Stegostoma tigrinum: one gene and its partners. The main gene of each other region encodes a partner of the protein of the gene in region 3 in a complex. Links are inferred from orthologs where the notes say so. Each region holds a gene or a part of one and is shown on either strand. Other genes may lie near its edges. The genes, in order: profilin-2-like, ppfia3 and protein diaphanous homolog 1-like.

Evidence for each region.
Region 1: the proteins of protein diaphanous homolog 1-like (region 3) and profilin-2-like are in contact, whole or in part, in a crystal structure (PDB 2V8F), measured with the Mus musculus proteins. The link is inferred for Stegostoma tigrinum from reciprocal best matches to the Homo sapiens genes DIAPH1 and PFN2. Residues at the interface, in NP_031884.1 of Mus musculus: Ile635, Pro636, Pro637, Pro638, Pro639, Pro640, Leu641; in NP_062283.1 of Mus musculus: Ala2, Gly3, Trp4, Ser6, Tyr7, Asn10, Ala28, Tyr30, Trp32, Arg108, Met131, Tyr134, Leu135, Ser138, Phe140.
Region 2: the proteins of protein diaphanous homolog 1-like (region 3) and ppfia3 are in contact, whole or in part, in a crystal structure (PDB 4UWX), measured with the Mus musculus proteins. The link is inferred for Stegostoma tigrinum from reciprocal best matches to the Homo sapiens genes DIAPH1 and PPFIA3. Residues at the interface, in NP_031884.1 of Mus musculus: Lys252, Ser255, Ala256, Ile259, Gln307, Asn310, Ala311, Thr314, Pro315, Ala316, Glu317, Arg322, Gln352, Cys354, Val355, Glu358, Gln359, Glu362; in NP_084017.2 of Mus musculus: Pro719, Arg720, Arg723, Leu724, Arg726, Met727, Ala728, Ala730, Leu731.

What each region holds. Positions count from the first base shown.
Region 1 is NC_081367.1:67,362,696-67,370,615, reverse strand, and holds the start of profilin-2-like, read right to left. Parts: upstream 3,008-7,920; 5' UTR 2,556-3,007; coding exon 2,424-2,555; intron 1-2,423. UniProt on the Homo sapiens protein: Binds to actin and affects the structure of the cytoskeleton. At high concentrations, profilin prevents the polymerization of actin, whereas it enhances it at low concentrations. By binding to PIP2, it inhibits the formation of IP3 and DG.
Region 2 is NC_081391.1:19,530,262-19,537,287, forward strand, and holds the start of ppfia3 (liprin-alpha-3), read left to right. Parts: upstream 1-3,943; 5' UTR 3,944-4,230; intron 4,231-7,026. UniProt on the Homo sapiens protein: May regulate the disassembly of focal adhesions. May localize receptor-like tyrosine phosphatases type 2A at specific sites on the plasma membrane, possibly regulating their interaction with the extracellular environment and their association with substrates.
Region 3 is NC_081366.1:6,062,767-6,070,843, reverse strand, and holds the start of protein diaphanous homolog 1-like, read right to left. Parts: upstream 3,063-8,077; 5' UTR 2,649-3,062; coding exon 2,550-2,648; intron 1-2,549. UniProt on the Homo sapiens protein: Actin nucleation and elongation factor required for the assembly of F-actin structures, such as actin cables and stress fibers. Binds to the barbed end of the actin filament and slows down actin polymerization and depolymerization.

The DNA of each region.
Region 1 (7,920 bases), on a different chromosome or scaffold from region 3:
AACAAACGACATAGTGACACACCCCCTTGGGAGCTTATCTCGAGTGATACTTGAATATAGTCCAATTCCAGAAGTTTGTCATATTGCATTCTGAGTAATTTGCTTCTAAATAACCTCACGTTAGTTTACCAGACGTATACCAGCAAAGTCAAGGGCAGTAGTACACTTGGCTGAACTAAGGGAAACTCAACAGCCCAAAAACATTCCAAATGCTCCTCCTGCAAGTACAAAATGTTTAAATCAATTTACGCTTAAATCATTCCAAATACGGTGAAGACTAAGGGATCCTTACACTGCTCATAGATGGGCAGGTCTCAATGAGCCTGATTATTACAGGTTTAAAGGTCATTTGAAACAAATCCTTCCAAATATTAAAATAATGAGTTGGGCCAGTTGAAGTTCCTATGCATTTTGACAAAAAAAATTAAGCTTAAAAACATCTGCCCATTTCAGCATAATGTTTTTTTAAAAGGGGAAAAAAGTAGCTGATGTCCGCTCTGACATGGAAAACTGCGCCCTCCCACCACATCTGAGCTGAACTGCACAGTCATGCCTTGCAGGCCGGGGCGGGGGGGGGGGGGGGGGGGGGGGGGGGGGGGGCGGGGGGAAGAGAAGAGAAATCAGAACAAAACGCTCATACACAAAAAACCACAACAGGAAGGAAGAAAAAAGCTAATAATTCAGCAATATGAGAACCCTAACCCTGTGAACCACAAACACCAGAAAGCACAATTCCTAGACAGTTTCACTAACAGTAATTTCTTGCCTACAAGATGGGAACTTGGCAAAAAGAAAAGATCAGGTTCAAATGGGCCTCATCTTTACATACTTCAATTTGATTTAAAAAGCAATGTAAATAAGTCTTAGGGTGTTAAGGAGTTACAAACAAGATTACTTTCTACAAATGATGCTGCAACACACAGACTCTGCCAAATCCCCCACCATAAGAGTACAATTTCATAAGTTCACCATGAAGCACATTAGGTTCTCCTATTTAAAGAGAAAACCTTTACCTTTGCCTGATCTTTCTGCAGTATTAAGTCCACATGAAAAAGGGAGAATTAACATATTTCCCTTTAAAAAGTGCAGTGATTCTTAAGCTGTAGACAGACAGAAGCACTGCTCCTCATTTCATGATGAAAACCCTGAATGTGAACGATTAGGAAAGATATATTTGAAACTGGCAATCTCCATCGTTATGCACAGAGGACGACGAGGCTGGCCACACAGCAAGTTTTCTAGAATTTTCTACCAGAATCAGCAATCTGCCTTTACACTGGGAAAAAATATCAAAACCAAATAGGAAATTAAAAATAAAAACGATTTCAAACATGTACTTTTGATTTAAATCACAAGGATTTTAAAAAATTATATTATTAGATGCAAAAACAAAAAGGAAGCACATAATTAAAAACCATTTCCCAAACGTGATTAGTTAACCCTTTGGTAAGACAGCCAACTGTCTCAAAAGTACATCAAGGAGGTTTATAATTAGGAGGTAGAAGGACAATTTTAAACAACATCTTCCCCTTCCCCTTCCCCATGCAAATACCCTTCCCCAAGCCTTCCCTCAGTCTTTGAGGAGACAGTTCAGTGTTCTCTCGTCCCCACACCCCACCCCTCTTTACCAGTGATCATAGCATCAAAACTGGGGGGGGGGGGGGGAAAGAAGAGAGAGAAAGGAGGAGGGAACAAGGGACACACACACACACACATACACGGGAGGTGGGGGGGGGGCTGATAAAAAAATGTGGGGGGAAACACAAGGAGGATGGAAAAAAAGAGGGGGATAACAGACAGAAAATCGGGTAGAAAAAAGGAGGGGGAAAAGAAGGGGGTGGGAGTGGGGGCTGGGGTCGGATGGGGGGGGGGGGTGGAATGAGAAGATGGAGACGGCGCCATTTTATAACCGCACACACCGGTGCAATTAATGGTCAGGGCCTGGGCAATAAGTGGCTTCCTTTAAAAAACAGAGTTAATAATAAAAACCACCCCCATTTCGAATGGGGGGGGGAAGCAAAAAGAGGCGGGGGGAGAAAAGGAGGGGTGAAGAAACTTGATGCCTCCTTGTCCCCGGCAAACATTTTCAAAAATACTGTATATCGAAAAACAAAAAGATGGGGGGAGAGGGGACACGATTTTGTATTTTCCCCTAATGATGCCTGTTTATGTTATTTTTTTAAAAAGGGGAGAGAGAGTAAGAGATCGATCGTTGGTTTAACTCCGTTTTATTCCCCGATTAGAGGGCAAAACGTTTCGTTAGGCATTCGCTTCCCACCCCCCACAACAACCAACCACCGCCACTAACCCCTACCTAATTTTTAATGTTAATAATTTACACGGTTTCGTTCAAATCTTAACCACCAAACACTCCCCTCTCCCCACCCCCCCAGAGCCCCCCCACAACCCCTCCCTTCCCTTACCGTTACAACCGAGAAGGTGCCTCCGGGAGCCGCTGCCCAGACGTACTTGGCGTCCGTGTAGCCGACGACGGCCGAGTCCTGGCAGTTTCCATCGGCCATCAGGTTTTCCACATAACAGTGCCAGCCGGACATGGTCTAACTACAGTTATCCCCCTCACTCAACAAACAAAAAAAAAGGGAGAAAATAAAATAAGAAACAAAAAAGGGGGAAGAAAAATAAAAGAGGGCGGGAGAAAAAGAGGTAACCAGCCCAAAAAAAATTAAACGAGAGAAAACTCCCAGCTCACGGATGGCGTGTGAAGAGAAAGGGGAGGGGGGGCGAAATAAAAAAAATGGCTCTCTTCAAGAAAGAGGGGCAACTCCGAAAGAAAAATAAAGGGAGAAAAGTCGATTTATTTTACGTTTTCCCCTCACGCTCCCTTGTTTTGTTCTGTCAAAAATCTATGCAAACTTTTTTTTTCCCCCCCTTTCTCCCGTTTTTTTCCCCCCTCCCTCTCTCGCTTTTCTTTCTTCTACCTGCGCTCACACACTCTCTCTCTCTCTGGGCTGAGGCGCCGGCTGAGCTCTCCGTTATAATGAGGCGGAGCGGGAGCGAGGAAATCAGGACGCGGAGCGCGCTCCTCTCCGCCCCCCCCCCCCCCCGCCCCCATCCACGGCCGTTGCCTGCCGCGCGTGCGTCCTGATTTCCTCGCTCCCGCCGAACCCGGTCCGTCCGGGGCGCGCGCGCGCGGGCGGCAGCCGGCTCAGCCGCACTGTTGTCCCCGCCCCGTCCCAGGGAGGATAGGTGCCATGGGTGCGGGCCGAATGGTTACAAAGGGAGACACACTCAGAGCAAGTAATCCTCCAGATTAACTCCATTCAAAAATACAGGAGTGATTAGCTACGCTAGACTTTGAGAACATGAGGGGATCATTAAGAATGTAATGATGACTAAAGATACTGCCAATTGTCAGGAAAAACCCAACTGGTTTCCTGGTTCATTTTTTTTTCTGAAGAATGATCCAGACTCGAAACGTCAGCCTTCCTACTCCTCTGTTGCTGCCTTGCCAGCTATGTTCGTCCAGCTCTACACCTTGTCAGAGATAATGGGAACTGCAGATGCTGGAGAATTCCAAGATAATAAAATGTGAAGCTGGATGAACTGATTGAAGGGTCTAGGCCCGAAACGTCAGCTTTTGTGCTCCTGAGATGCTGCTTGGCCTGCTGTGTTCATCCAGCTTCACACTTTGTTATCTACACCTTGTTATCCTCAGATTCTCCAGCATCAGCAGTTCCTACTGTCTCTGATTCACTAATGCCTTTATTGCCATCTTTACCTAGTCTGGCTTACATGTGACTTCAGACCCACAACAGTGTGGTTGACTCTTAAGGATGGGCAATCAATGCTGCCTAGCCAGTGACACCCTCATCGCATGAATGAATAAAGGACTCATGTCAATTGCCAACAGATGTTTTCTAATCATCTAGTTCGGGGTTCTGAAGAAGGGTCACTGGAATCGAAATGCTAACTCTGCTTTCTCTCTGTATTCAGGCTGCCAGACCTGCTGGGTTTCTCCGGCAATTCTGTTTTTATCTCAGATCTTCAGCCTTCCCCATTTGTCAACAGGGGATCTGACAGAGCTAGGTAAGACTGTGAGGTTCTTAGTGTGAACCAAAAGTTGCTGATTTCCTTAGTCAAAGGGTCAGTAACAAGGGGCAATCACTTTAAAGTGAAAGGCAGGAAGCTCTGAGGGAATTTGAGGAAAATCGTTTTCGCCAAGAAGTTGGTGGAGGTCTTGAATGAATTGCCTGGAAGGGCAGTAATCTCACAACTTTTAATAAGTGCTTGAAAGAACACTTGAATTGTCATCACATTCAAAGCTATGAGTCTAGACTGGGAAAGTGTTTGTTTATTCATTTGTGGGATTTGAGCATTCCTGGCTGGCCTGCATTTGTTCCCCATATCTCGTTGCCCTTGAGAAGGTGGTGGTGAGCTGCCCTCTGAACTGCTGTAGCCAGCATGCCCACAAAGCCCTGAGGGAAGAAATTCCAGGATTTTGACCCAGCAACACTGATAGAACAGCGATATATGTCCAAATCTGGATGATGAGTGGTTTGGAGAGGAACTTGCAAGTGATGCTGTTTCAATATATCAGCTGTACTTTTCCTTCTGGATAGAATTGTTTGTGGTTTCGGAAGGCGCAGTCTGAGGATCTCTGGCAATTTCAACAGTGCATCTTATACACACTGCTGCTCCTGAGCGTCAATGGTGGAAGGTATGGATGCTTGAGGATGTGGTGCCAATTCAGTGGGTTGCATTGTCCTGGCTGGTGTCAACCTTCTTGAGGAACAAAATCAGAAATTGCTGGAAAAGCTCAGCAGGTCTGGCAGCATCTGTGAAGAAAAAAATCAGAGTTAACGTTTTGGGTCCGATGACCCTTCCTTAGTTCACTAAGTTTTTTCTACACTGACACTGTTGAGCTTTTCCAGCAACTTCTGTTGCCAGACCTGCTGAGCTTTTCCAGCATCTGCAGTTCTTTCAGTTTTTATCAAGCTTCTTGAATGTTGTTGGACCTGCACCCATCCAGGTAAATGGGGAGTATTCCATCACACTTCTTATTTACCATTTTGTAAATGGTACAGAGGCTCTTGGCAATCAGGAGGTGAGTTACTCACCACAGTATTCCTAGCTTCTGTCTTGATCCTGTAGCCACTGTATAATATGACAAGTCCATTTGAGTTTCTGGCCAATGGTAACCCCAGGATGTTGATGGTGGGGGATCCAGTGGTGGTAGCACCATTGAATGTGAAGTGCCAGTGGTTAGATTGGCTTTTATTGGAGATGGTCATTGCCTGGGCGTGGCATTTGTGAGGCATAAATGTTCGTTGCCACTTGACACTCCAAGCCTGGAAATTGTCCAAACCTTATTGTAATTGAACATAGACTGTTTCAGCATCTGAAGAGTCGTGAATGTGATCAGTGAACGTCCGTACTTCTGACTTTACAATGGAGTGAAAGCAGTGTACGTTTGGTGATATAGACTCAATGAGCTGAATGGCTTTTTCTGTACTGCGTGATTCTATGTAATGACACGTCTGGCATGGTAGGACTTGAATTCGGTCTCCCAGTTCGGAGTTAGGGACACAACCACTGACCCACAACAGCCCCCTGAGAATCGGAATTAAGATTGAATTAGAAACAGGACTCAGACCTTCAAGCCTGCTCTGCCATTCAGTTGGATTTTGGTTGATCTGAATGCTGCATATTCTTGCCTTCCTGCTACCCCATCATCCCTTTTATCACCTTGCTCAACAATAATCTATATACCTTACCTTAAAAATATGCAAAAACTGCCTTCCAAGGAAGAGAGTTCCAAAGATTTGGGATCATCTGATATCACTGACTTAAATGGGCAACCACTTTTTTTTTAACAGTGACCCACCTCCAACTTTGTTCAAGAGTCTCCCACAAGAGGAAAATCCTTTCCGCGTGCGCCCTATCAAGACTTCCTCAAGATCTAATGTGTTTCAAGAGGAATGAAAGACCAATTCATGTCAATCTTACCAACACATCTCATTGATACTAAATTCTCAATAATAGCTGGCTAACAAGAAATTATTTCTGCTCACAGTGCCCCCACCCCATCATCATAAGACCATAAGAAATAGCAATAGGAGTAGGCCGTTCAATCCCTTGAACTTGCTCCACGATTCAATAGAATCATGGCTGATTTGACATTCCTCAGCTCTACTTTCCTGCCTTCCCCTCCCCCCCATAACCTTTGATTCCCCTACTGATCAAGAATCTATCTTAGCCTTAAATATACAATGATTCTGCCCCCACAGGTCTCTGTGGTAAGGGTTTCCAAAGACATGCAATGGTCCTCATCTCAGTCTTAAATTGGTGCCCATTTCTCCCAAAACTGTTCCTGTCATCCTAGACTCTCTCATGAGGGGAACCTCCTCTCAACACTTACCCTGCGAACCACAAATGAATCCTATGCCTCTCAATGAGATACCTCATTCTTCTAAACTCCATTGAGTACTGTCCCAACCTGTTTAGCTTTTGCCCAACAGACAATCCCTCCAAGATAACAAAGTGTGAAGCTGGATGAACACAGGAGGCCAAGCAGCATCTCAGGAGCACAAAGCTGAGGTTTCAGGCCTAGATCCTTCATCAGAGAGGGGAATGGGGAGAGGGTTCTGAAATAAATAGGGAGAGAGGGGGAGGCGGACCGAAGATGGATTTAGGAGAAGATAGGTGGAGAGGAGAGTGTGGGTTGGGAGGTGGGGACGGGGTAGATCAGTCCAGGGAGGATGGATGGGTCAAGGAGGCGGGATGAGGTTGGTAGGTGAGAAATGGAGGTGCGGCTTGAGGTGGGAGGAGGGGATAGGTGAGAGGAAGAACAGGTTAGGGAGGCGGGGACAAGCTGGGCTGATTTTGTGATGCAGTGGGGGGAGGGGACAATCCCTCCATATCATTCTGAAGATGTGTCACTGGATCCGAAATGTTATCTCTGATTTCTCTCCATTGATGCTGAGACCTGCTGAGTTTTTCCAGCATTTTCTGTTTTAGTATCATCCTCGTGAACCTTTTCTGAACTGCTTCTAAGGAAATGATGTATTTTCAGAAATTATGGGACCAAAACTGTACAGTACTTCAGATGTGGTCTCACTGGCATCTTGTACAGTTACAGTAAGCCTTCCTTACTCTTATACTCCAAACACACTGAAATAAGCCACCCTGATTACCTGCAGCAATTGTGTGCTTGATTTCTGTGTTACATGCACAAGGACCCTGAACTATGGAATCTAGAACTGTGGCTCCCATTCTCCAAATCAGGTGTCAGTTAGCAAAGGACTAAGATGAGAAACAATTTCCTTTGAATCTTTGGTAATCTCTCGGCTGTGGAGGTAAAAGTCTGCCATGATCTTATTGAATGACAGAACAGGATCAAAGGGCTGAATGGCCTACTCTTGTTTTTGTTTTTTCTTATGTTCTTATTTTGCAGTAATCTTGAGCAAATGGCTTATTGTCATAAGCAGACCACATTAAAGAACATAGAAATGGTATCTAATCTTTTATCTTCTGCAGGCTTTTTATCATATCTACCGAGGGGGATTGGGAGTGGGAACTAGCTAGCCCCATTGACCAGATTGATCACATGAGCACAGGATTCGCTCAATATTCTGGTTAAGATAAACTTAAGGTCTCCATCATCACATAACCTACAATTAAAAACCACAGGACTTTGTTGTGGCTAAGTGACTTTGCCTTCAGGCAAAGTGGGGAATTCACTAGTATATATTACATCTGATAGCAATTGCATACATAAATGAATTGTTTAGAAACATTTGTAGAGGCAAGCTCTTTCATGTCCATTTGTTACAGGAAACTATTCTAGATATTGACACATCAAAAATACCCAACTAAAAAATGTTCCTATTGTTGATTATAAAATTAGCTCTATTTCTGTGTATATATATGATATATACGTATTTATACACTTACAAACAA
Region 2 (7,026 bases), on a different chromosome or scaffold from region 3:
AAATGCTCATGTGGAGAACCAGCACTGACATGATGGGCTGAACTGTGCCTCTCTGCTCTGAAATCGTTCTGTGATTTTATTTCATTTAAAAGCAGTGTGACGAGTTTTAATGAAGTAATGTGTAACAGGTAAACAGTATTTAATACTTCCGCTGGCCTGCCCTACACTACAACCACAGCAGTGATAACAGGAGGCGTTAAAGAAAGCATTTGTGGAAAACGGTTTCAGCAACAGAGGCAACGCTGATTAGAACGCAATAAACTGACCAGAATAAGCAAAAACAGGCCATCCATAAACTAGAATAAATATGGTCCATAAGTGGAAATACTCCATTTCAAACTGCCAGGTGCCTCCACAGCAAAGTGGAAATGTCCTACCCAACCCAAAGGTTGGAAGTGGGAAGAATGTGAGAGAGGAGACAACGGTACGGAGCGGACTGTGCTTCATTGTGTGTCGTAGGCTGGCCCTTCTAAGTTAAGTTGATGCTACCGAGAATCTGTGTAACCCTAACAATCATCGAGTGAGGTACAGTACAATCAAAAAGAAAACTCTACTCTCGCCGAAATAAACTAAAAAGATGCCGCAAATGATTGGCTCGGTCTGGCAAAACCAGCAAAGCTGACAGGCAGGCACGCTACTGTTTGGAACGCTGGAAGCCTTTAGTGTTATGGCGCACCTTAATATGGACGAAACCTTCACTGACCAAACATGCCTGGTGATGCCAATGCACACAAAGCTGTGGGGCAAAGGCTGGGAAGTGGGATTAGAATAGTGTGGTGGTTGTTTCTGACCAATCAGGATGCAGTGGGGCAATGTAGAGCTGTACGAATCTAAAGTGCTGAATGGGGTCCTCTTGCCCAACAACACTTCTGTGATTTTGAAGGGAGGATGCAGGCTAATGCCTGTTTGCTTATTTCTGAATGCGCATTCCCACCCTATCTTCCAAAGAAGAAAGGGGGGAGATCAGTTTGGGACACCTTGCGGGAAGGCTGAATGGCCTCTTAGCTGAAGAGAAATGTAGGTACACTGGGGGCAATTCAGAGGAGGTTTACTAGATTCCAGAGGTAAGGGGTTTGCTTTATGAAGAGAGATTGAACACTTTAGGCCTATAGTCACTAGAGTTAGCAGAATGAGAGGCGATCTAATTGAGGTGTATGAGACACCGAAGGGGATTGACAAAGCAGACGTAGAGAGAATATCTCCTCATTTGGGGCAATCTTAAACAAGTGACCCTGGTTTTAAGATAATGAGTGGCATATTTAAAACAGAGATGCAGAGGAATTACTTCTTTCAAAAGGTCACGAATCTGTGGAAATCACTGTCCCAGAGTGTGGTGGATGCCAGGACATTGAGTAAATTTAAGGAGGAAATCAACAGATTTTTAAAGATTGAAGGATCACGGAGAATGGGCAGAAAAGTGGAGTTGAGGCCGAGTTGAAATCGGTATGATTTTATTGAATGGGGGAGCAGGCTTGGAGGGCTGAATGGCCTACTTCTATTCCTGGTTGTTATGTTCTTGTGTCCTGCATCAAAACACTTCTGTGACTTTGGAGAACACGGGCCGACGACACGATGACAGCATGCAAAAGGTTTATTTTGCTGCATGCATTCCCATCCTATCTTTCAAAACAGAATTGGAGACAGCTCAGAGGAAACTGAACCTTTTCAACTCAAGCACTTTTAGGCTCTGGTGCAGACAGAGTGGGCTGAATAGCCTTCTTCTGCACAAAACACTTCTGTAATTTTCATTTTATATGGTGGAGCAGGCTCAGGGGACTGAATCGCTTATGCTACTCCTAGTTTCTATAAATACAGGCTGATGACTGCATGCGATCATAGGCTTCTTGCTTAGCATGTAGTCCCAGCCTATCCCAGTCATCCATTTTGGTAGGAATAACAGCAAAATGGACTATGTTTTAAAAGGTAAAAAACTGCAGCATACTGCTGTGCAGAGGGACTTGGGTGTCCTTGTGCATGAATCGCTGAAGGTGGGATTGCAGGTGCAGCAGGTGATTAAAAAGGCAAATGGAATTTTGTCCATCATTGCTCGAGGGATGGAGTTTAAAAACAGCTGCAGCTGTATAGGGTCCTGGTGAGGCCACTCCTGGAGTACTGAGTGCAGTTTTTGTCTCCTTACTTGAAGAGATATACTAGCACTGGAGGGGGTGCAGAGGAAATTCACTCGGTTGATTCTAGAGTTGAGAGGGTTGGATTATGAGGAGAGACTGAGTAGGCTGGGATTATACTCATTGGAATTCAGAAGAATGAGAGGAGATCTTATCGAAACATATAAGATTATGAAGGGAATAGATAAGGTGGAGGCAGGGAGGTTGTTTCTGCTAGCAGGTGAAACTAGGACTAGGGGACATCGCCTCAAAATAAGGGAAAGCAGATGTAGGACTGAGGTCAGGAGGAACTTCTTCACCCAAAGGGTTATGAATCTGTGGAATTCCCTGCCCGGTGAAGTGGTTGAAGCTACCTCGCTGAATGTTTTTAAGGCAGGGATGGATAAATTTTTGAACAGTAAAGGTTTTAAGGGTTATGGTGAGTGGGCGGGTAAATGGAGCTGAGTCTCAAAGATCATCCATGATCCTATTAAATGGCAGGCCAGGATCGAGGGCCCAGATGGTCTACTCCTGCTCCCAGTTTTTATGTTCTTCCAAAAAAACCCAGAATGATTGATTTGGGGCATGTTGCTGGAAAATGGACCTCTTAAATCTGGGCAATTTTGTTTACCTAGGTGCAGACACAAGGGCTGAATGGCCTCCATGTGCACCAAAACACTTCTGTAATTTTTGAAGTGGAGAATACGGGCTCACAAAAACCTGCAAAAGGCTTATTTCTGTATTCCCATCATAAGTTCCATAATGAAGGGGAGATTGATTTGGGACAGCTTGGAGGAACATGGACCTTTTAAAGCATTGTAGATATGATGAGCCGAATGGTCTCCATCTGCAATGAAACAATTCTGTAATTTTGGAAGGGGAAAATGCAGCATAGTTTAAGGATGGCACAGTGTCTCAGTAATTGGCCTGCTGGCTCACTGCACCAGGGACATGGGCGCAATTCAACCCTCAGGGGACTGTCTGTGTAGAGTTTGCACATTCTCCTCCATGTCTGCGTGGGTTTCCGCTGGATGCTGTGGTTTCCTCCCACAGCCCGAAGATGTGCAATTTAGATGGATTGGCTGCACTAAATTGTCCGTGGTGTCCAGGTTAGCTGCATTAGCCGTGGGAAATGCAGGGTGGGATTGGGTCTGGCGGGAGTGTTCGTCAGTGGGTTGGTGTGGACTTGTTGGGCCGAATGGCCTATTTCCACATTGGGGATGTTAATGAATAATGACTCAATGCAGGCAGATGACTGCAATGCAAAAGCCTTATTTCTCAGCATGCATTCCCATCTTAAGTTTCCTAATGAAGGGGAAAGCTTGCAGGAACCCGGACCTTTTAAAACTGAGTATCCTCTGGCTGAGTTGCAGACACAGTGGGCCGAACGGTCTCCATTTGCACCAAAAGCACTTTTCCGGTGATTTTGGAAAAGCGGAGGGGGGGAACGCAGGCTGACGACTGCAATGCAAAGGAAAAGGCTGATTGTGCAGCATGCATTCCCATCCTATCCTCCAAAAAGGATGGATTGGGAACAGCTTGCGTCCAGTCAGATCTTGCAGTGCCTTTGCATTTTGTGGGGAGTATAGTAGGGCAGTGGCTGGGAGGGAGGAAGAGGCAGAACTCAGGTTTACCGCACCTGGCCCAGCCCAGCGAGGTTTAAGCATGACATCATCCCCCAGGCAGGGTCCCGCCCTCCAGCCGCCGCCCTATTGGCCGCAAGCCTGCCCGGGCCCAGTCCCTTCCGATAGGCCGCCGCGGCTGTCACTCAGGATGATTGACATCCCGGGGCGCTCCTGCAGCTGATGAGACTGAGCTCCAAGTTGGGAGTTAAAGGTAGGCGGGCATTGCAGGGACGGATTCTGGGAACCTTATCTCCCTTTTTTTCAATGGGAAGTAGTGGATGAGTGAGGGAACCTCTCTAATTTCTATTTTTACATGGTGGGGGAAGGGGAAGGGGGGATTTAATTGCACTAGCCTGAAATTCTTCCCCCCTACACAATCTGCCCTTTTGCAGATTGCAAGGAGAAGAGATGCAGGGGTAAGGGAAGGGGAAGAAGAAAGAAGGGAGAGAGTGAAGGCTGGAAGCAGGAGAGGGCAAGAGCTGGAATCCTGGCTTGCAGATGTGAGTATATAATGCATGCCATTTGAGATTACGGACTGATAAATGGGTGCATCCCCCCCGCCACCAGCCCGTTTTTATTTTAAGGATGCTTGATATTTGGGGAGGGAGGGAGGGAGTTGGAGGTGCTTTCAAGTGAGATTTCTACAACATTGTCCCCCACATCACGATTTTTCTTGCAATTTTTTTTCTTCTTCAATTACAACATGCAGGAGTGTGGGAGGACTTGCTGAAAGGTTGAGGGTCGGTCTCTTTCGTGCGTGTTTTGATTTTTTTTAAAATTGCCATCCTCTACCACCCACCCTCCCCCATTCCCCTACCTTCCTGCTGAGAGAGCAAGAGAGACATTCACGACTCTGATTCAGGATGAAGGGTACATCGAGTGATTTGTGGGGCTGGAGATTAATTGCCTGTTCTTTTTTGGCAAAGGGAGGGTGAGAGAGAGAGCAAATTCTGTCTCTAATATGCACTTTGTGTTTGATAACTCGTCTGTGTAAAGCGGCAGATACAATCTGTACAGTTATGCGTGCATCTTTTGGAAATACAAATAGTTTAAGTTTAGAAATAGCCAGAATCTATGTAGGGCGCAGATGATCAATGATTTCGCAACCCCTTACATTTTCAACCGGATCTCTCTCTCATGTCATGATTCTGTGGGTTTTAGGTTCCTGTGGTCCGTGCACCAAAAGCAAATCTAGTCCAAAATAAAATGCACCGTTTCAGTGATTAGATAAGGGGAAAAAGAGGAGGGCATTTTATATAGATGTAAATTCTGCATTTAAAACGTGATGGTTTTTAAATACCTGCATCTGCACTGCCTTGATTGCTAACACCGCCTGTCAGAGATTTAAATCCATATATCATTGACTTCCATTACTGGCTGATCAGGATTCGACTGTGCCTTCCATAAAAAGAAAGGATGCAGTGTTTATATGTATACAAGCATACTTTTTCTTTAAAAATGAGCAACTAAAATCGTTGCTACTTTCAGAATGCACGGATCTAAATTCATCTGAAGCTAGCCTCCGTCAATGATTATTGGTGCTAATCGCGATTTGTAGCGAGCAATTCATTACCAGTAACTACACATGATTCCCTTCAATGCGCTAGGTTTATCATAACTATATTGTGCCCCAATGGTATTTGAACGGCGTCTGTGCAGTGATTAACTCGGTAGATAATTGTAATGTGTTGGTCTGCAGGCCGTAATGATGGATGCCTTTGAGAAACAATTCAGAGTGCTGTGGATATGATTTAAAAGGTGACTTAGTTCACAATGTACAGTTTACTTTTCCTTCCGCACTACTGGAGAAGAATCACCTATGTGACCCCCACCCCCTGTAGTGGAATCAGTGCAGAATGGGGCCATGTGTATTTGCATTTGTGTGTCTGACTTCTGACAGTACCACGCAAATTTGCATTCCTGTGAATAGAAGCAGCTTCATCTGTCATTTTTGTTAAAAAATGGAAACTGGAAAATGGAGTAATTGAATTTTGAGTCTAGCAAGAAGATTACTTTAAGATTTGAGTTTTTGTTTGAAACAGGGAAATCTGGGTCCTGATGGAGGTGGACAAACGCAGTGGGGTGAGGCTCTTTTCTTTTTCCAGAGCATGAACGAGTCAGGCCAAATGGCCCGTATCGGTGCTGTAAATTGTGTCACCGTTGCCTAGCACCCTTGGCTGGAAGTGTGGTGTTGTCCAGCTTGAAGGTTCCTGATGGATGTTAGCATCAGCCCTCCTGCAGTCAGTGAAACTTGGGGCAGTGTGACTGAACGTTGAGACGTTAGGGAGCAGGCTCATAGTCCCTTGAAAGTGGAGTTGCAGGGAGACGGAATGGTGAAGAAGGCGTTTGGTATGCTTTCCCTTTATTGGTCAGTGCATTGGATGTGAGAACAGAAACAACTGCCGATGCTGTACATCAGGACCAAAAACAGAAGTTGCTGGAAAAGCTCATGCTCTGGGGAAAAAAAAGAGCCTCACCCCACTGCGTTTGTCCAACTGTTAAGAAAACATCAGAATTAATGTTTCGGGCCTCCCCGGACCTGAAATGTTAACTCTCAGTTTTTTCTTCACAGATGCTGCCAGACCTGCCGAGCTTTTCCAGCAACTTCTGTTTTTGTTGGTGTTGGCATTGACATTGAGTATAAGAGTTGGGAGGTCATGTTAAGGCTACACAAGACATTAATTAGACCTCTCTTGGAATACAGTGTTACAGCGTGGTTAGCACATCAGCCTCACAGCGCCAGGGACCCAGGTTCGATTCCAGCCTCAGCTGTCTGTGTGGAGTTTGCACATTCTCCCCATGTCTGCGTGGGTTTCCTCCGGGTGCTCCGGTTTCCTCCCACAATCCAAAGATGTACAGGTTAGGTGGATTGGCCATGCTAAATTGCCCATAGCGTTCAGGGGTGTGTGGGTTATAGGGGGATGGGTCTGGGTGGGATGCTCCAAGGGGTGGTGTGGACTTGTTGGGGGAAGGGCCTGTTCCCACACTGTAGGGAATCTAATCTAATCCAATTCTAATCTAATTCTAATCCCCCGCTATAGGAAGAATGTTGTGAAACTTGAAAGGGTTCAGAAAAAAATTACAAGGGTTGCCAGGGTTGGAGCTACAAGGAGAGGCTGGATAGGCTGGGTCTATCCTCCCTGGAATGTCAGAGGCTGAGGGGTGACCGTATAGAAGCTTATAAAATCATGAGGGGCACGGATAGAGTGAATAGCCAAGGTCCATTCCCCAGGGCAGGGGAGTCCAAAGCTAGAGGGTATAGAGTTAAAGTGAGAGCGGAAAGATTAAAAGGGACC
Region 3 (8,077 bases):
CTGGTCAGTGCATCGAGTAAAGGAATTGAGATGTCATATTGTGGCCGCACAGGACATTGGTTAGACCACTTTTGGAATAGTACATTCACTTCTAGTCTCCCTGCTATAGGAAAGATGTTGTTAAGTTTGAAAAGGTTCAGAAAAGATTTACAAGAATATGGCTGGAGTTTGAGGGTTTGAACTCACGGGAGAAGTTGGGGCAATTTTCCCTGGAGCAGAGGCTGAAGGGTAAACTTAAGGAGGTTTATAAAATCAGAGGTCAATGGTTAGGGTGAATACATAAGCTTTTTCCCAGGGTGGGAGAGTCAAAAACTGGACAGCATAGGTTTAAGGTGAGCGGGGCAAGATTTAAAAGGGACCTAAGGGGCAACTTTTTCTTGCACGACTGGTGTACGTATCAAAATAAGCTGCCAGAGGGAGTGGAAACTGGTGCAACCACAACACCTGAAAGGCACATAGATGGGTATATGAATAAGATGGCTTTGGAGGAGCACGGACCAAATGCTGGCAAATGGGACTACATTAGTTTGAATATTTGTCAGCATGGATGGGTTGGGCCAAAGAGTCTGTTTCCGTGCTTTACAACTCTGACTCTAGAATGGCGAAATTAAGTGTTGCAAACATAGCACATACTACACTTACATAGCATCTTTCACAACACCTGAATTCCCTACAGTACTTTGAATTAAATAAACAATTTTCAAATACAGTCAACCTTTAAACAAGGGAAATACTTCCCAGGTGACCCAACTAGCTTTCCAGGTATGAAGACTTGATTTTATATCTTGCCTTAAACAGCTGAATAACAAATTTAGTCATCATCGTTGCGAAAGCAAATCTAGCCAATCTATGCACAGCAAGGACCCACGAGGAGGAATGAGGCAAATGTTCTGAGGAAGGGTCACCGGACCAGAAATGTTAACTGTTTTCTCCTCCACAGATATTGCCAGACCTGCTGAGCTTTTCCAGCAACTTTGTTTTTGTTCCTGATTTACAGCATCCGCAGTTCTTTTTGTTTTTAAACTTATTTTAGGCTTTCATGGGAAGTAGGCATTGCTGACAAGGTCAGCATTTGTTGCTCATCACTCCAAAAGTCCTTGAAAACTGTTTGTCAAAACTCAATCACATTTCTTTGGATCTTAAGCCACACGTGGACCAAAACAGGTAACTCTGGTAGAATTCCTCCTTTAAATGATAGTAGTGAATGAGCTAGATCTTTACAACAATCAATAACTTCACTGTCACTATGAATAAGACCAGCTTAAAAATTCCAGACTTTATTAATAAAGTTTAGATTCCACCAGCTGCTTTGATGGATTCAAGCTCACGTGCTCCAAATGTTTGCTTGAATCTATGTATAACTAGCTCAGCAACATTTCTCTTATGCCAGTATTATCATGTAAAGACAGTTACATTTGAGATAACTATCATGAAAGGCTATGTTTAAAAAAAGAAGAAAATTGAAGGAAGACGAGACCGGGGACTGTGGTGTGAAGGAAGTGAAAATGCAGACCCTCAGAAGCAACACGAACATTGCAGCAGAAAATTTTGTTGTAAAAATTTTCATATATACACAAGCATAACAACGTTTGGAAATCAAAACATGTGGCTAAGTAGACAACTTTGATTAAAAGACATTAACAGGAGAGCACTGATCCAAGATTTGTAGAATCCAGTGTAACAGACAGCTAGCCACATGTCTAGGTGGTGGAATGAACAACTGGCTCCCCACTACCTTTAGCATACGTCACTGCTGGAGCACCTATCTTAAACATGCAAAAACTCAAAACAGGAATGGCCTTTAGCTCCCCTTTTAAATTTGACCGGACCACATGTTTGCACTGTAGGATTGGTACTGAACAGCCATAATACAGCATTGCTAAGTTTAAAAGAACTTCGAGACTTTATTTGTGCAGTTCAAATTCTGTTCCACTCAACATATACAATGCTGAACAAAAATAATTCTCGCTTGCTGATTTGAATTCAGTGCAGTGACCAACGGAAATCTGAGTACGAACGTGCTAAACAAGTTTTAAACTTTGGCGTGACCCAATGACTATGGACGAGAGAGAGTCAGTGTGCTCGGCAACATGACAGGTTGAGCAGAAATGTGTCAATAGCGAAAAAAAAGACTTTCCTTTTGCAAGTGGGAAGTAGTGCCTTCTGCACGCCCATATAGACACATATTATCAACTCAATACTCCCAATAACCTTCCTTCTCGTGAAAAGTGGGGGCAGCCAGAGCGCCAAAAGGACGGCTGCGCCGAACCACCGACACTGCCTCGACAGTGTTCGTGATGAAATCAAGAAAAAGAAATACACAACTGGGGAGAAAATATATAGAGGCAGCGCCTATTTCAGCTCAGGGGTTGTTCTTTGGGACGCCTCTGTGCCCCTTTGAGAGATGGGGGCCTTCAGAGTACCTGCACAGGCAGGTAAGGGCGCTGCTCTCACAACTGTGGTCTTCAGACAAAGGTGAAACCTTCCACACTTTCACAGCTATCCCCCCAAATTAGAAAATAATTCTAAAGGCAAACATAAGAACTCACAAATTTGGTTTTCTTTTCTCCTTCCTCCAGGCTTTTCTTCATTTTACCGGACTTTTCCTTCCCCCTAGAAGGACCTGAAGCCTCATTCCTTCCCTCCATGGTTTTACTTATTTATTGCTCCCGTGGTAAACTTATTTTCTCCTGAAACCTTTCAGTCTCTAATCTCTTGGATCAACGTATCTCATTCGGCTGCTCTTTCAATGCGGAGGGGTGTAGTGGACTGTTCCTGTCCTTCTCTTTCGAAACCCCTCCCACTCTTGCCAAGCGCTGTGAACGGCTGACGGCCAGAGCCCGGGGCCTAGGCGCGGGCTGCCGGCTGCGATTCCTACTCGAGCCCGCTCAGCGGGGAGGGGTGGAGGGTGTGGTGTTGTAAGTCCCTCCCCTCGCCTCACGGTACTTCTTTTTGCCAAAATGGTAATGACATGCCGTTTCCTTCCAGAAAGTGGGCAGAGAGAACAAACGAAGTTAAAATATTCTGTATAAATTGTTGCAGATGGTTGTGTGTGAGAGACCGGGCAGCGTCTGCCCTTGGAGCCACGCTGCTCCCTCAGCGAGCGCCAGCTCGCGGGAGGGGGCGGGGTCGAGGTGGGGGCACAGGGGAGAAAGGCAATGCTGCACTCCTGCGGCAGGCACTGACACAGTATGAAACACAGCCCCTCAACGCCAGGGATAACAAAGTGTACAGCTGGATGAACACAGCAGGCCTGAATTTTTTTCTGAAGAAGGGTCTAGGCTCGAAACGTCAGCCTTCCTGCTCCTTTGATGCTGCTTGGCCTGCTGTGTTCATCCAGCTTTGTTACCACATAGCTTGCCATTACACACCTCCTGTTGTTGGTCACTAACAATCCCCGTTAACAATTATTCACTCTCCCAGCCTGATCGTTAGTAACTCTGTTGTCTGTCCAAGTGTCTTTCTCTCTCTTCTATCCTATCGTTTACTCCCTACCCCACCCACCTCGCGAATTTCTGCATGTAAACTGATGATTTCCCAGCCACCATCAGTTCTGAGGAAGGGTCACTGGACCTGAAACACTAACTCTGTTTTCTTCTTCACAGATGCTTCCAGACCTGCTGAGCTTTCCCAGCAACTTTGTTTTTGTTCCTGATTTACAGCATCTGCAGTTCTTTTGGTTTTTATAAAACAAATACATTTGGTCTCAGGTTAAAAATCTTAACACTTCAAGGAGTCAAAGGACAATAAAACTGCATAACCTTGTCTGTATCAGATGCTTTCTCTTTTAAAGTTATGTCATGCTGTATGTATTTGATGTGCTTTTATTATATTTTTAATTTCAAAATGTCTTTTTTTCTTACATTCAAGTAAACATTGTAATTGGCTTCTTCATTTTGATCGATGTAATCGCATTTTAAATGACACTTCATATAGCTGTGTGGCGGCATGATGGCTCAGTGGTTAACACTGCAGTCTCACAGCACCAGGGACCCAGGTTCAATTCCAGCCTCGGGTAACTGTCTGTGTGGAGTTTGCACCTTCTCCCCGTGTGCGTGGGTTTCCTCTGGGTGCTCCGGCTTTCTTCCACAGTACAAAGATGTGCAGGCTAGATGGATCAGCCATGCTAAATTGCCCGTAGTGTTTAGGGGTGTATGGGTTATAGGGGGATGGGTCTGGGTGGGATGCTTCAAGGGGAGGTGTGGACTTGTTGGGCCGAAGGGCCTGTTTCCACACCGTAGGGAATCTAAAAAACTTTTAAAAATTTTTTTGAAATTGATAGAGAGAAAGTTAAAAAGGAGATAGTGGGAACTGCAGATGCTGGAGAATCCAAGATAATAAAGTGTGAAGCAGGATGAACACAGCAGGCCAAGCAGCATCTCAGGAGCACAAAAGCTGACGTTTCGGGCCTAGACCCTTCATCAGAGAGGAGGATGGGGTGAGGGTTCTGGAATAAATAGGGAGAGAGGGGGAGGCGGACCGAAGATGGAGAGAAAAGAAGATAGGTGGAGAAGAGAGTATAGGTAGGGAGGGGATAGGTCAGTCCAGGGAAGACGGACAGGTCAAGGAGGTGGGATGTGGTTAGTAGGTAGGAAATGGAGTTGCGGCTTGGGGTGCAAGGAAGGGATGCGTGAGAGGAAGAACAGATTAGGGAGGCAGAGACAGGCTGGGCTGGTTTTGGGATGCAGTGGGAGAAGGGGAAGAGCTGGGCTGGTTGTGTGATGCAGTGGGGGGAGGGGACGAACTGGGCTGGTTTTGGGATGTGGTGGGGGAAGGGGAGATTTTGAGCCTGGTGAAGTATACATTGATACCATTAGGGCTGCAGTGTTCCCAAGCGGAATATGAGTTGCTGTTCCTGCAAACTTCGGGTGGCATCATTGTGGCACTGCAGGAGGCCCATGATGGACATGTCATGTAAAGAATGGGAGGGGGAGTTAAAATGGTTCGTGACTGGGAGGTGCAGTTGTTTATTGCGAACCAAGCGGAGGTGCTCTGCAAAGCGGTCCCCAAGTCTCCGCTTGGTTTCCCCAATGTAGAGGAAGCCACACCGGGTACAATGGATACAGTATACCACATTGGCAGATGTGCAGGTGAACCTCTGCTTAATATGGAAAGTCATCTTGGGGCCTGGGATAGGGGTGAGGGAGGAGGTGTGGGGGCAAGTGTAGCATTTCCTGTGGTTGCAGGGGAAGGTGCCGTGTGTAGTGGGGTTGGAGGGCAGTGTGGACTGAACAAGGGAGTCATGGAGAAAGTGGTCTCTCCGGAAAGCAGACAAGGGTGGGGATGGAAAAATGTCTTGGGTGGTGGTGTTGGATTGTAGATGGCGGAAGTGTCGGAGGATGATGCGTTGTATCCCGAGGTTGGTGGGGTGGTGTGTGAGAACGAGGGGGATCCTCTTTGGGCAGTTGTGGCATGAGGGATGTGTTGCGGGAGACGCAGTCAAGGGCGTTCTCGACCACTGCGGTGGAGGAAGTTGCGGTCCTTGAAGAACTTGGACATCTGGGATGTGCGGGAGTGGAATGCCTCATCGTGGGAGCAGATGCGGCGGAGGCGGAGGAATTGGGAATAGGGGATAGAATTTTTGCAGGAGGGTGGGTGGGAGGGAGGAGGTGTATTCTAGGTAGCTGTGGGAGTCGGTGGGCTTGAAATGGACATCAGTTACAAGCTGGTTGCCTGAGATGGAGGCTGAGAGGTCCAGGAAGGTGAGGGATGTGCTGGAGATGGCCCAGGTGAACTGAAGGTTGGGGTGGAAGGTGTTGGTGAAGTGGATGAACTGTTCGAGCTCCTCTGGGGAGCCAGAGGCGGCGCCGATACAGTCATCAATGTAACGGAGGAAGAGGTGGGGTTTGGGGCCTGTGTAGGTGCGGAAGAGGGACTGTTCCACGTAACCTACAAAGAGGCAGGCATAGCTGGGGCCCATGCAGGTGCCCGTGGCCACCCCCTTTGTAGGATGTGGGAGGAATCGAAAGAGAAGTTGCTGCTTTACTCTTCCTCTCTTGGTTGTAACAGTAAGTAAATCTTTCTTTCAAAGCAAAAGCAACATGCAGCAGATGGTTTTCAGCCTGGTACTCTCAAGCTCTGTGTAATAGTTCTGCAGCTTATGATTTTCAAATTCTTTGCAATCGGTTTTTCTAGTAAAAGCTTGCAGCTCTACTTGCATTACTCCTTGCCTTTTAGCCTTCCTCTTTTAAACTCTCCATCATTTCTTACAGCTTATCATTGGCGTCCAGTCATTCAATGATACAGTGTTGGGCTAAATATGCGCTTCGCCAATTTGCTGTCTGAGCTCAATACTGTCATTCTTTACTTTGTCAAGTGCTTCTATTTGAAAAATGTGCCATTGAAGTTTTGCCTTGAAGTTTCAGGATCTCCCTCTCGAATGTCTTGTCTGTTGGCTGTACAGCTTGCAGATTCACTTCCATATCCTGTTTTTCAGATTGCAACATTATATCGTGCTAGGCCTTCGAGCTTTCTGGGGTGGCAACTTTATTCTCTCGTTTTAGCTTTTCACCCTTTAAAGTATTTCCATTTCATTTTGAAAGTTTATGGAAAACTTCTTATATAAATAGCAGATAAATTCTAAACCAACTCTTTCCTTTTCAGTCCTGGAGTATCTTTTCATATTGGCCTTGAACAGTTAAATATCTATCAGCAACCTACTCACTTGGTTTTGAATGAATCACAGTTTTTTGCTTAGATTAATATTTATGTGAATCAAAACCTTTTCAAAAAGCAACCACCTCATCAAAGAAGCATCACATTTAAGAGACATCTGAATGAGTACTTAAAACGTCAGGGCATATTAGGCTATGGACCAAATGCAGGTAAATAGGATTTGTATAATTTGTTGGTCTGTATACACATGGTGGGCCGAAGGGCCTGCCACTATGTTCCGTGACTCTATGACTCAAAATTCTCCCTGATTCATTTGTGCTACTTCTTTAGGAGGGTGCTCTTCAAAGGATATGCTACCTTAGTTCAGTTGGTTGTAGAGCTGGTTTGCGATGCAAACTGATGGCAGTGGCATGTGCTCAATTTCTGCACCAATTGACATTACTGTGAAGGACTCTCCTTCTCAACATCTCGACTGAAGTGTGGTGACCCTCAGGTTAAATAACTTCTGACCGTCTCTGTCATGCGCCTTTTCACTCTGCAAATTTCTCTTTTAAGTAGCTCATGCACTTTTTGTGCTCCTCTAGGGCTGTTTTGAGCCCTTGATATCCACTTAAATCTTCCCTTTCTCTTTATCCAGCACTGAAAAATTCACTGATATCCAGGGATCTCTGGAATATTTGGCCCCGCTATTCACTTTACAGGAACACGTAGGTCCCACACTTTCAACGTTTCCTCATTTCCCTTGGCGCTGATGTAAATTTTTCAATACATAGCCATTTCCGGTTCACATTGGGCCATTCATAGAACATAGAACATAGAACAGTACAGCACAGAAGAGGCACTTCAGCGCACGATGTTGTGCCGACCATTGATCCTCATGTATGCACCCTCAAATTTCTGTGACCATATACATGTCCAGCAGTCTCTTAAATGTCCCCAATGACCTTGCTTCCACAACTGCTGCTGGCAACGCATTCCATGTTCTCACAACTCTCTGTGTAAAGAACCCGCCTCTGACATCCCCTCTATACTTTCCTCCAATCAGCTTAAAACTATGACCCCTCGTGTTAGCCATTTCTGCAATGGGAAATAGTCTCTGGCTATCAACTCTATCTATGACTCTCATTATCTTGTACACCTCTCCACTTCCACCTCTCCCTCTCCTCCTCCTTTTCTCCAATGAAAAAAGTCCGAGCTCAGTCAACCTCTCTTCATAAGATAAGCCCTCCAGTCCAGGCAGCATCCTGGTAAACCTCCACTGAACCCTCTCCAAAGCATCCACATCTTTTCGATAATAGGGCGACTAGAACTTGACGCAGTATTCCAAGTGCGGTCTAACCAAAGTTTTATAGAGCTGCAACATGATCTCACGACTCTTAAACTCAATCCCCCTGTTAATGAAAGCCAAAACACCATATGCTTTCTTAACAACCCTGTCCACTTGGGTGGCCATTTTAAGGGA